Linked DNA regions of Schizosaccharomyces pombe. Changing the gene in region 2 together with the main gene of any one other region gives a genetic interaction. Each region holds a gene or a part of one and is shown on either strand. Other genes may lie near its edges.

Region 1 (3,567 bases), 2.7 Mb from region 2:
GTGTCAACCGTATTGATTCGATCAATTGGAACTGACATTTTTGTGTTCTATTTTTGTAACGATTATGTTATAAAAGAATGTTCATTTTTTATTTACAAGATATCACCAATGCATACTTGGCTTTTGGTAAAAATGTTAGGTGCAAATTTCTAAAGGATCGCCAATAGCGGAAGCTATCGGAAAGGTCTTACAAAATCTTTTACGCGCAATAGTAAAAACAGGTAGAAAAAGCCATTCGTCGGTTAAGAGAGCTCTTTGGGCATTCTTTGTTACGTGTAAAACTTTTTATTGTATTTTTTTCCATTTCAATACCCAACTGGTATATCCAAAATTCAGTCCACTAAAGTATGTCGGATTCTAATAAAAATGCACTACCATCATAGATCAACAAAATATATATTTAATAGTGACAGAGGTAATATAAATATAAAGATAAATAAGTACACTTATATATGTAACAGTTACTCAAAGCATTACTTTTCTTTCTGCGAATGATTGATAAGCGACAGTCGATTAAACAAAGTTAGGGCAATTCATAAACCGGTTTTATTATATTATATATAAAATTTTTACAAAAATGCTAGCACGAATATATCCCAACCGATCCTATGCATATTCGTACGTCAAGCCTTGGAGAATTTGGTGAATAAACAACCCGAAAGATTCTCCCCGAATTATTGGTGGCAGAGTCGGTTTTCTTAATTAATGCTAATCTCGTACTGATGTTATTAGTCCAAACGAGACCAAGAGATGGTATTTTGGGATTTGGATCTGTGTCATCCCATCCCGAAAACCATTGCGATTGATAATCTAAACTAAACAACCCAATAGCATCATAATCTCTAGGAATTCTATCGCTAACTTGGTTAGCTATGACAACAGCAGCTTCATGTTGATGAGCTAAAGTGCGTAGAGTCATAGCTAACTTTCCCAATTGATTTCCACGTTTGGCAATATTATCTAAATCTCTAAAATGACTTTTGGATCGGTTGTAACGGAGCTCAGCTCTGTAGTTGGAGGCGACACTATCCAATATAACCAACCCAATTTTATCCCGATTGAATAAAATCGGCAGTTGATACTGAATGATATGTTCTTGAGATTCCAGATCTGGGCATAATATAGTATACACCCTATCTCCTGGATTTTTTATAATTATGTCTTTCTTATCAGCTTTGGGATACCTTTCTGGTAAATAACGCGCCAGTTCAAATAATCGTTTTGTTTCAAGACCGGACTCTGTAGAAATGAAGACAGCTGCTTTGTTCATTCCTCCTAAACTGAGAGGTAGTTGAACCATTAAACAAAGCTGCATACAAAACTGTGACTTCCCTGAACCGCTTTCACCACATATTTCAGTTAACTGTCCTACTGGTATACCTCCATGTAGAGTTTCATCCAACTTTACATCGCCAGTTGTCAAATATTTCGAAGTGACTTTGGAAGCAGAACATCTTACTGGTTGAAGAAGGAGGGATATCTGCTCAATTAACTGTAATAACTCACTTTGACTACAATGTGTGCGTCTTTCTAGCTCAGTAATATCCAGCGTTAACAAATCAACCGTGCTTACTTCTCCTAAAGCTGTCAGTAATTCCGTCTTTTAAGATCCCGGTACAAAAACCCAATATTTTTTTTTTATGTGCAAGCTTATTGAACTACTAAACGCTTACCTAATTCAAATGCTGAAGCAATTTTCTCATCAAAGTAGAAATTGTCAACATAATTCGAAATATCCATCCATATAGTAGAAAGAAAGAAGATTTTTAATTGTAAATATGATATGTATAGTTTTTACTCATAAAGATAAATGAAAATTATATCCACACCATAGAATATTCGAAAGTTGATAGTTTTATATAATGAACAGCTTTGTATCCTACGATTGAATTAAATTCTCACGATTATTTAGAAGTAATAGCACGAACTTCTAACCCACTTTTTCGCAGAAAGAAACGGTAATTTATGTACCACTATAGAAGTGGTGAGTCGAAGATGTTGTACGCGAATTACAACTGACCTGCCAATACCTCTATGTTTAGTAATTATAATCCTTATGAGAAGAAGCCCCGCAATCGACGAATATTTATATGAACATTGGTTTTTATAGAACATTAGCATAGTAACCGCTTACACTTATTTTTTTAACATCTTCAAACCATACATCTATGAAAAACCCCACGTAATGATACACATACTTGCCTAACCACCATTCCTTAATTGATAATTAAGTTATCAAGATATGTGAAATTATATAAGCAGCATATCCAAATGTGTATTGCTCATTAATTGTTAGGCATTAAAATTCGTAGTATGGTTGAGCAAACGAAGTATAAGAAATGATGTTTTACCAATCAACCGACGATAATTCGCTCAGTTTACCAGCTACCAACAAATTTCTTAGTTTATGAATGCTTGGTTCAACATGAAGTAATACTAAATAGAACTTTGTTGAGATTTCTCAATAACAGACAAAATATACATGATACATTTTTCATCTCATGAAACTTCAACTGTACAAAGAATTAGGTAATAGATAAATAACGTACCCTAACGCTCGCAGATTGCACTACGGAGGCAGCTGAAATTCGAAGCAAGGGCAACTGTTTAAAAATTGAGTATTGTAATTGCTTTTGTCAACAAATCAGAATTCTTTGATAAGTTATCTGGCTTTATTAAAAATTAAAAGTTGCTCAACATAGTATTCTTGTCGCCTCAAAAATAATGGGCTTATAGTATCCTAAAATATGCCTTAAATTTTGAATTTTGAATTTTTTTTTTTTCAGTTTAACTACGGATCACGATTACTTCTTGTTTTAAAATGTATGCCAATTCAAGAAAAAGAAGCAATGTCGATGTTCATCGGCACCCTTATGTAGTTTATGGCTCCCCTTTTGATCTTGAGCCGTCCAGAATTAATCAAGGAGTTCCTGTTTGGAAACAAGAAGCCAGGGATGAGCGTAATAGAAAGAGATTTCATGGTGCATTTACTGGTGGATTTTCTGCTGGCTATTTTAATACGGTTGGTTCAAAAGAGGGTTGGCAACCTAAATCTTGGAAAAGTTCAAGGAATGAAAACAAAAGTGTGCATGGAATGACTATTGACGATATTATGGACGAGGAAGATCGTGCTGACCAAGAGCTTAGTAAAGTTTATACTTCGAAAATAAATACGATTGATACATCTATACCAATTGATGATCCTCTACTTAGAGAATTCTCAAATAGGGACGATAGCATTGGCGAAAAAATGTTAAAAAATCTTGGATGGAACGGTCATGATTTTGTTATATCTCCATTTCAAGGGTATTATGATGACACTAAGTTAACCAACCAAGCTTATCACGGTATCGGGTATCAAGCGGACGATGTTTTTCAGCTGGAAAGAAAACCAGTTGGAATGGCAAAAAATCTGCGCGGTGGATTTGGATCAGGTGTTTTAAATGATGATGGGATAGAAGATCAAGATATATACGACCTCGGTGCTCCAAAAATGCGGTATGATAAATCTATCAACATTACAAAAAAAGTCGCTTCTCCATTTACACCCGTTAAGCATACCTTTCT
Region 2 (4,280 bases):
ATGAGTAATTTAAAACATGAAAATTATTCCTTTTTTTTTTCTCTAAATGAAACGAAATGTACAATCCTAATTATCAGTCTATATTGAATATATAACAATAATAGTAACAATGCTATCTATGAAAACAAGAAAGAATTTGCAATTAAGGAACGGTAAAACTATTATAGAAAGAAGGTACGTTTAAGTCAATTTATATGTCTGTATATGTGTTGTTTATGTAGCGGATTTCCCCGGATACCTCTCCATATTTAAGTTATTGTGGGATTTTCACTATCGTTACCTCTATTGCGATACCAACTTTTCTAGGTAACAACGTTCAGCCCCTTTCGTACTGAATGTTGGTACAGTTTACATGTGTAGCCGACTGCATCGGAGGAGGAATAACTATCGAACATAGTCAATTCCGATGACAGACAGCCTGAAATTTTCGCACTTTTAAAGAGGAACTCGCCATTTTCATCACTTCTACGTAAAATGTATAGCGATGCCTCCAAAGTACAAGAAAGAATAGGCGGAAATTAATAGAAGCTACAGTCAATGGCATATATCTTCTCAAAAAAACGATTAAAATATTCAATTTTTATTAAGTATATATTTCCCATTGAGCACTTAAATGTTCAATTGAGACTTTATAGATTTCTGAACAGTTGCTTGTCTAAAAGATTAAAGAAAGATGAACCAAGGTTTATTCATATTCAAGTTAATTGCTTGAAAACATACGTTTGTGTTTAATCGTATGTATCTCTCATTGAAAACGTGAAAACATATGGATTTTATCAACAGATTTTCTGTGACTTGAACATTATATTTCTTTTTGGTGTTATCCTTTTAAGAGATATCAACGGAATAGTAAAACACTGAGTTGCCGAGATTACAACAACTGTATAAAATAAATAAAAAAGAACGGTAAGATCGATAAAGGAAGAGAGAGAAAATAAGTATAAGCATGGTAGATGTTGATTAATCTCTTTTCATTTTAATGTACATTAAAAATGTGGCTAGTCACTCATAACAATTATTCGTTAATTAAATCAAATCATAAACAAATTGAAGTAACCTTAGTCCACATAGGTACTAATGTAGTATGTTAAAACAGCCGTATGTTCATCTTCTGGATCTGTTATATAAACATAAAGTACTAGCGCATGTCCTTCACAGAAACCTGTAATGTAAAAAGGTTAGTTCGTGGTCATAAAAAGGATTCTCTCATAGTACATACACGCTATTACACGCTTTGCAACACTGGATATTTTTAACATGTTGACTAAGTCCTTGCTGTCTAGTCTCATGTGAACAAATTCTTCGGGTGCCCTTGTTTGAGAGGGATGTCGACTGATGTCTTCGACTTGACTAGGATCTAACTCTGGATTCTCTAATCCTTTCCATTTTGTGCTTACTCTAGCTGAAGGTATGTTTACCGATAACTGCAATTCGCCTGACATGTTGGCTGACATTATAATACGGTCTGAAAGACTCTTGTATTTGTCCACGACGTGTCTTAGAAAATTCAGTTGTGGAAGGAATATATGACAGTCTGGTTCAGGAGCAGTTGGTTCCTTAATAACTGACACGTATGATTGTGATAGTACTCGAACAGGTATATTATGAGTCACAATATTCGAACCAAACGCCCTTCCACTCCAAGTGGTAGACAACGAAAGTAATGGCTGGTTATTCTTCTTGGATAGACGAACAGTAGAATCACTAGCGTTGGCCGCTGATCGTAAGGCTTTATAGAAATTATCTATAGGAACTTCTAGATTTATCACGTTGTCTGCATTGCTTTGGACGACATAGTCCTCAAATATTGTTTCCTTTCCGTTTACGTTAGTTAGGGCAATCAAATAGAAAAAGATAGTTAATCATACGACTTCTAAAACTCTGTTTCTTTATTAGTTTCACAATGTGATTTTTTTCACCGTTAAATGCTTAATATCTTCACTTACGACCAAACTTGAGTCATCCTAAAATCTGGCACTATCACAAAATTTACAGTTTCAGGCATCAGACGAAGCCAGCAAAATCTTCCAATTTTATCTAGCGCCTGAACAAGACCTAAATTTGATTAGTAAACGAACTTTCTGCTGATCTTTTCCAACTTACGCGTCAACGTGTACAAGTTGCTAATCCTTGTTTTAAATCTCATTTTCAGTCTTTGATTTAACTAATGAGATTGAGATTTTTTGGCATTTTGTTTATTCAAGCGTTTAGCAGGTTAAAGTCGACCAATAATAAATTTTCGGTCGAAAAAACTACGAACGCGTAAAAGCCAGCTAAGAAATAGCAAACTGGGCATTAGCAACTGCATCGCAATCTTTATTAAGCAAATGCAAATTTTAATGGCAAGTGGAATAAAATTAATGAATAAAATTTAAAAAGATTTACAAAAGTCTTAGAGTCTAAAAAAAATTATACTCAAGAGCCTATTCGTTGTATCATTTATTTCATACGATTAGCTATTCCTAAATTTTAAATTACATTAAAAAAATAAATGGCAAGTAAGAAGGGTTCTAGCTAGAGCAGGAACATTGAATTTGGCTTTTGGAGGGAGTAGTGTTATAGCATAAATAATCCTCTTCTTCCTTGGAAAACCCCCAAGTATCTTCGAACGGACAGGCAGCCATTTTACACACTTTTTTAAAAAGCTCAAATTTCCCGATGTATGCTTCTTTAATCACCTCTTCAAGAACCCAATTTCTAAGAGTAAAATGTGGGTTGACTTTTTTCATGCTCGCTAATCGGGATGAATCTTCCTGAGTTTTCGTTGCTTCACTATATCGACCAACCCAATTAGTGAAAGCTTTGACAGATTCATTTCTAACTCTTTCATTATTCGGGTTTAGACAAATACATGCTTGCATCAATTTTGCAGCATATTCTTCATTCTCCATTGAAGAGGGAGAGTTTCTAGAAAGAAAGGAAAAACAATTTGGCATATCCAATTCATAATCCTCCAAAATTTGTAACAAATCAGTTATCAGAATTTTGTTAGATGAGTCAGAGGGAAGACCCACTCGTTTGAACATAAGATCATAGAAATCATTCTGGACAATATTTTTATACTCTTCTACTATCTTTTCAAAAACTTCAGAAGTATAAGCAAACGCCTTTTTTAACAAATCAGTAGAGTTATGAAGTTGTTCCATATATTGCAAGTCATCAACTTTGTCGCAAGCTCCAATTAACTCAACCAAAGCAGATGCTAATTTTGATAAATTCCAAATAATAATATCAGGTTGGTTGCGATATGAATATCGCAAAAATACATCGTCATGATTAGGTGTAAAAGATGGGTTGTAAACATCTAAAAATCCAAAAGGTCCATAATCAATTGATAGTCCCAGTATACTGGTATTATCAGTATTCAAAACACCATTCATAAATCCATATGCTTGCCATTTGGCTACAGTTTTAGCATTTCGATATGCAACATCTCGAAGAAGTTTTTCGTAGCGATTTCCAGTATCTCCACCATGAAATCCATCTTTTAAAACGAAATTTAGACAATAGTCGGCTAATTTCCGTAAAGACTCAATTTGATTATTAATCCCCTGGAGATCGAAAGTCCCAATTCTGATCCAAGAAGGGGCCATACGGCAAACAACGGCGCAAGGCTCTACAGTCTCACGTTGTGCTACAACACCTTCAAGATTGGAAATTGCCAGAGCCTGTGTTGTTGGAATGCCTAGAGCATATAAAGCTTCACAACATAAATATTCTCGAATGCTAGATCTTAAAACAGCCTTTCCATCTGCAAATCGAGAGTATGGTGTTCTTCCTGCGCCTTTGACTTGAATCTCAAAGCGTTTTCCAGTTTCCGGGTTGGTAAGTTCGCATAAGGATACTACGCGGCCATCACCCAACTGACCTGCCCAATCCCCAAATTGGTATCCTCCATAACATTGCGCCCAAGGACAACACTTATTGACATCAACGTTAGAACCGACAACAAGCTGTTGAAAAGCTTCAGTTTGAGTTTCAGATTCTTCGAGTCCTAATGACTTCACGGACGAAGGGCTATAAGCTAATAATTGAGAATTGGCTTTTAGTGATGGAGTCAAATAAGTAAATAAGCCGCCGCCTTCCACAAATCGAGGAACATGTAAGATTCTGTCATCAGCCTTTTTCATTGCCTGTACGGTCGGTACCAGTGGATCAGGCGGAAGATTTGATGTGAACGTTGAGCTGACAGGGAGATCCTTCAATTTTTTTGACATCGTATTGGTATATCGAATTAATGTTCTTTGCATACCAATGTTTGATTGTGCCCCAGTGTAAAT

The links.
Region 1: mutations in hus1 (region 2) and rad57 together harm fitness more than expected from each alone (negative genetic interaction), as found in Schizosaccharomyces pombe (3 studies listed by BioGRID, with this or other methods).

Annotation. Positions count from the first base shown.
Region 1 is NC_003424.3:2,121,463-2,125,029, reverse strand, and holds rad57 (DNA recombination mediator, RecA family ATPase Rad57/Rhp57), read right to left. Parts: upstream 2,001-3,567; 5' UTR 1,741-2,000; coding exon 1,674-1,740; exon of another isoform or gene 1,579-1,673; coding exon 581-1,578; 3' UTR 524-580; downstream 1-523. Other genes in the region: whi2 (phosphatase activator), read right to left, coding at 1-38; gpl1 (Gpl1-Gih35-Wdr83 complex RNA-binding subunit), read left to right, coding at 2,822-3,567. UniProt on the Schizosaccharomyces pombe protein: Involved in recombination DNA repair and in the repair of gamma-ray-induced damage.
Region 2 is NC_003424.3:4,820,433-4,824,712, forward strand, and holds hus1 (checkpoint clamp complex protein Hus1), read right to left. Parts: upstream 2,272-4,280; 5' UTR 2,147-2,271; coding exon 2,104-2,146; exon of another isoform or gene 2,056-2,103; coding exon 1,947-2,055; exon of another isoform or gene 1,882-1,946; coding exon 1,869-1,881; exon of another isoform or gene 1,815-1,868; coding exon 1,220-1,814; exon of another isoform or gene 1,163-1,219; coding exon 1,059-1,162; 3' UTR 555-1,058; downstream 1-554. Other genes in the region: fmp40 (adenylyltransferase), read right to left, coding at 2,511-4,217. UniProt on the Schizosaccharomyces pombe protein: Essential in controlling the S-M checkpoint that couples mitosis to the completion of DNA replication. It is also required for the response to DNA damage.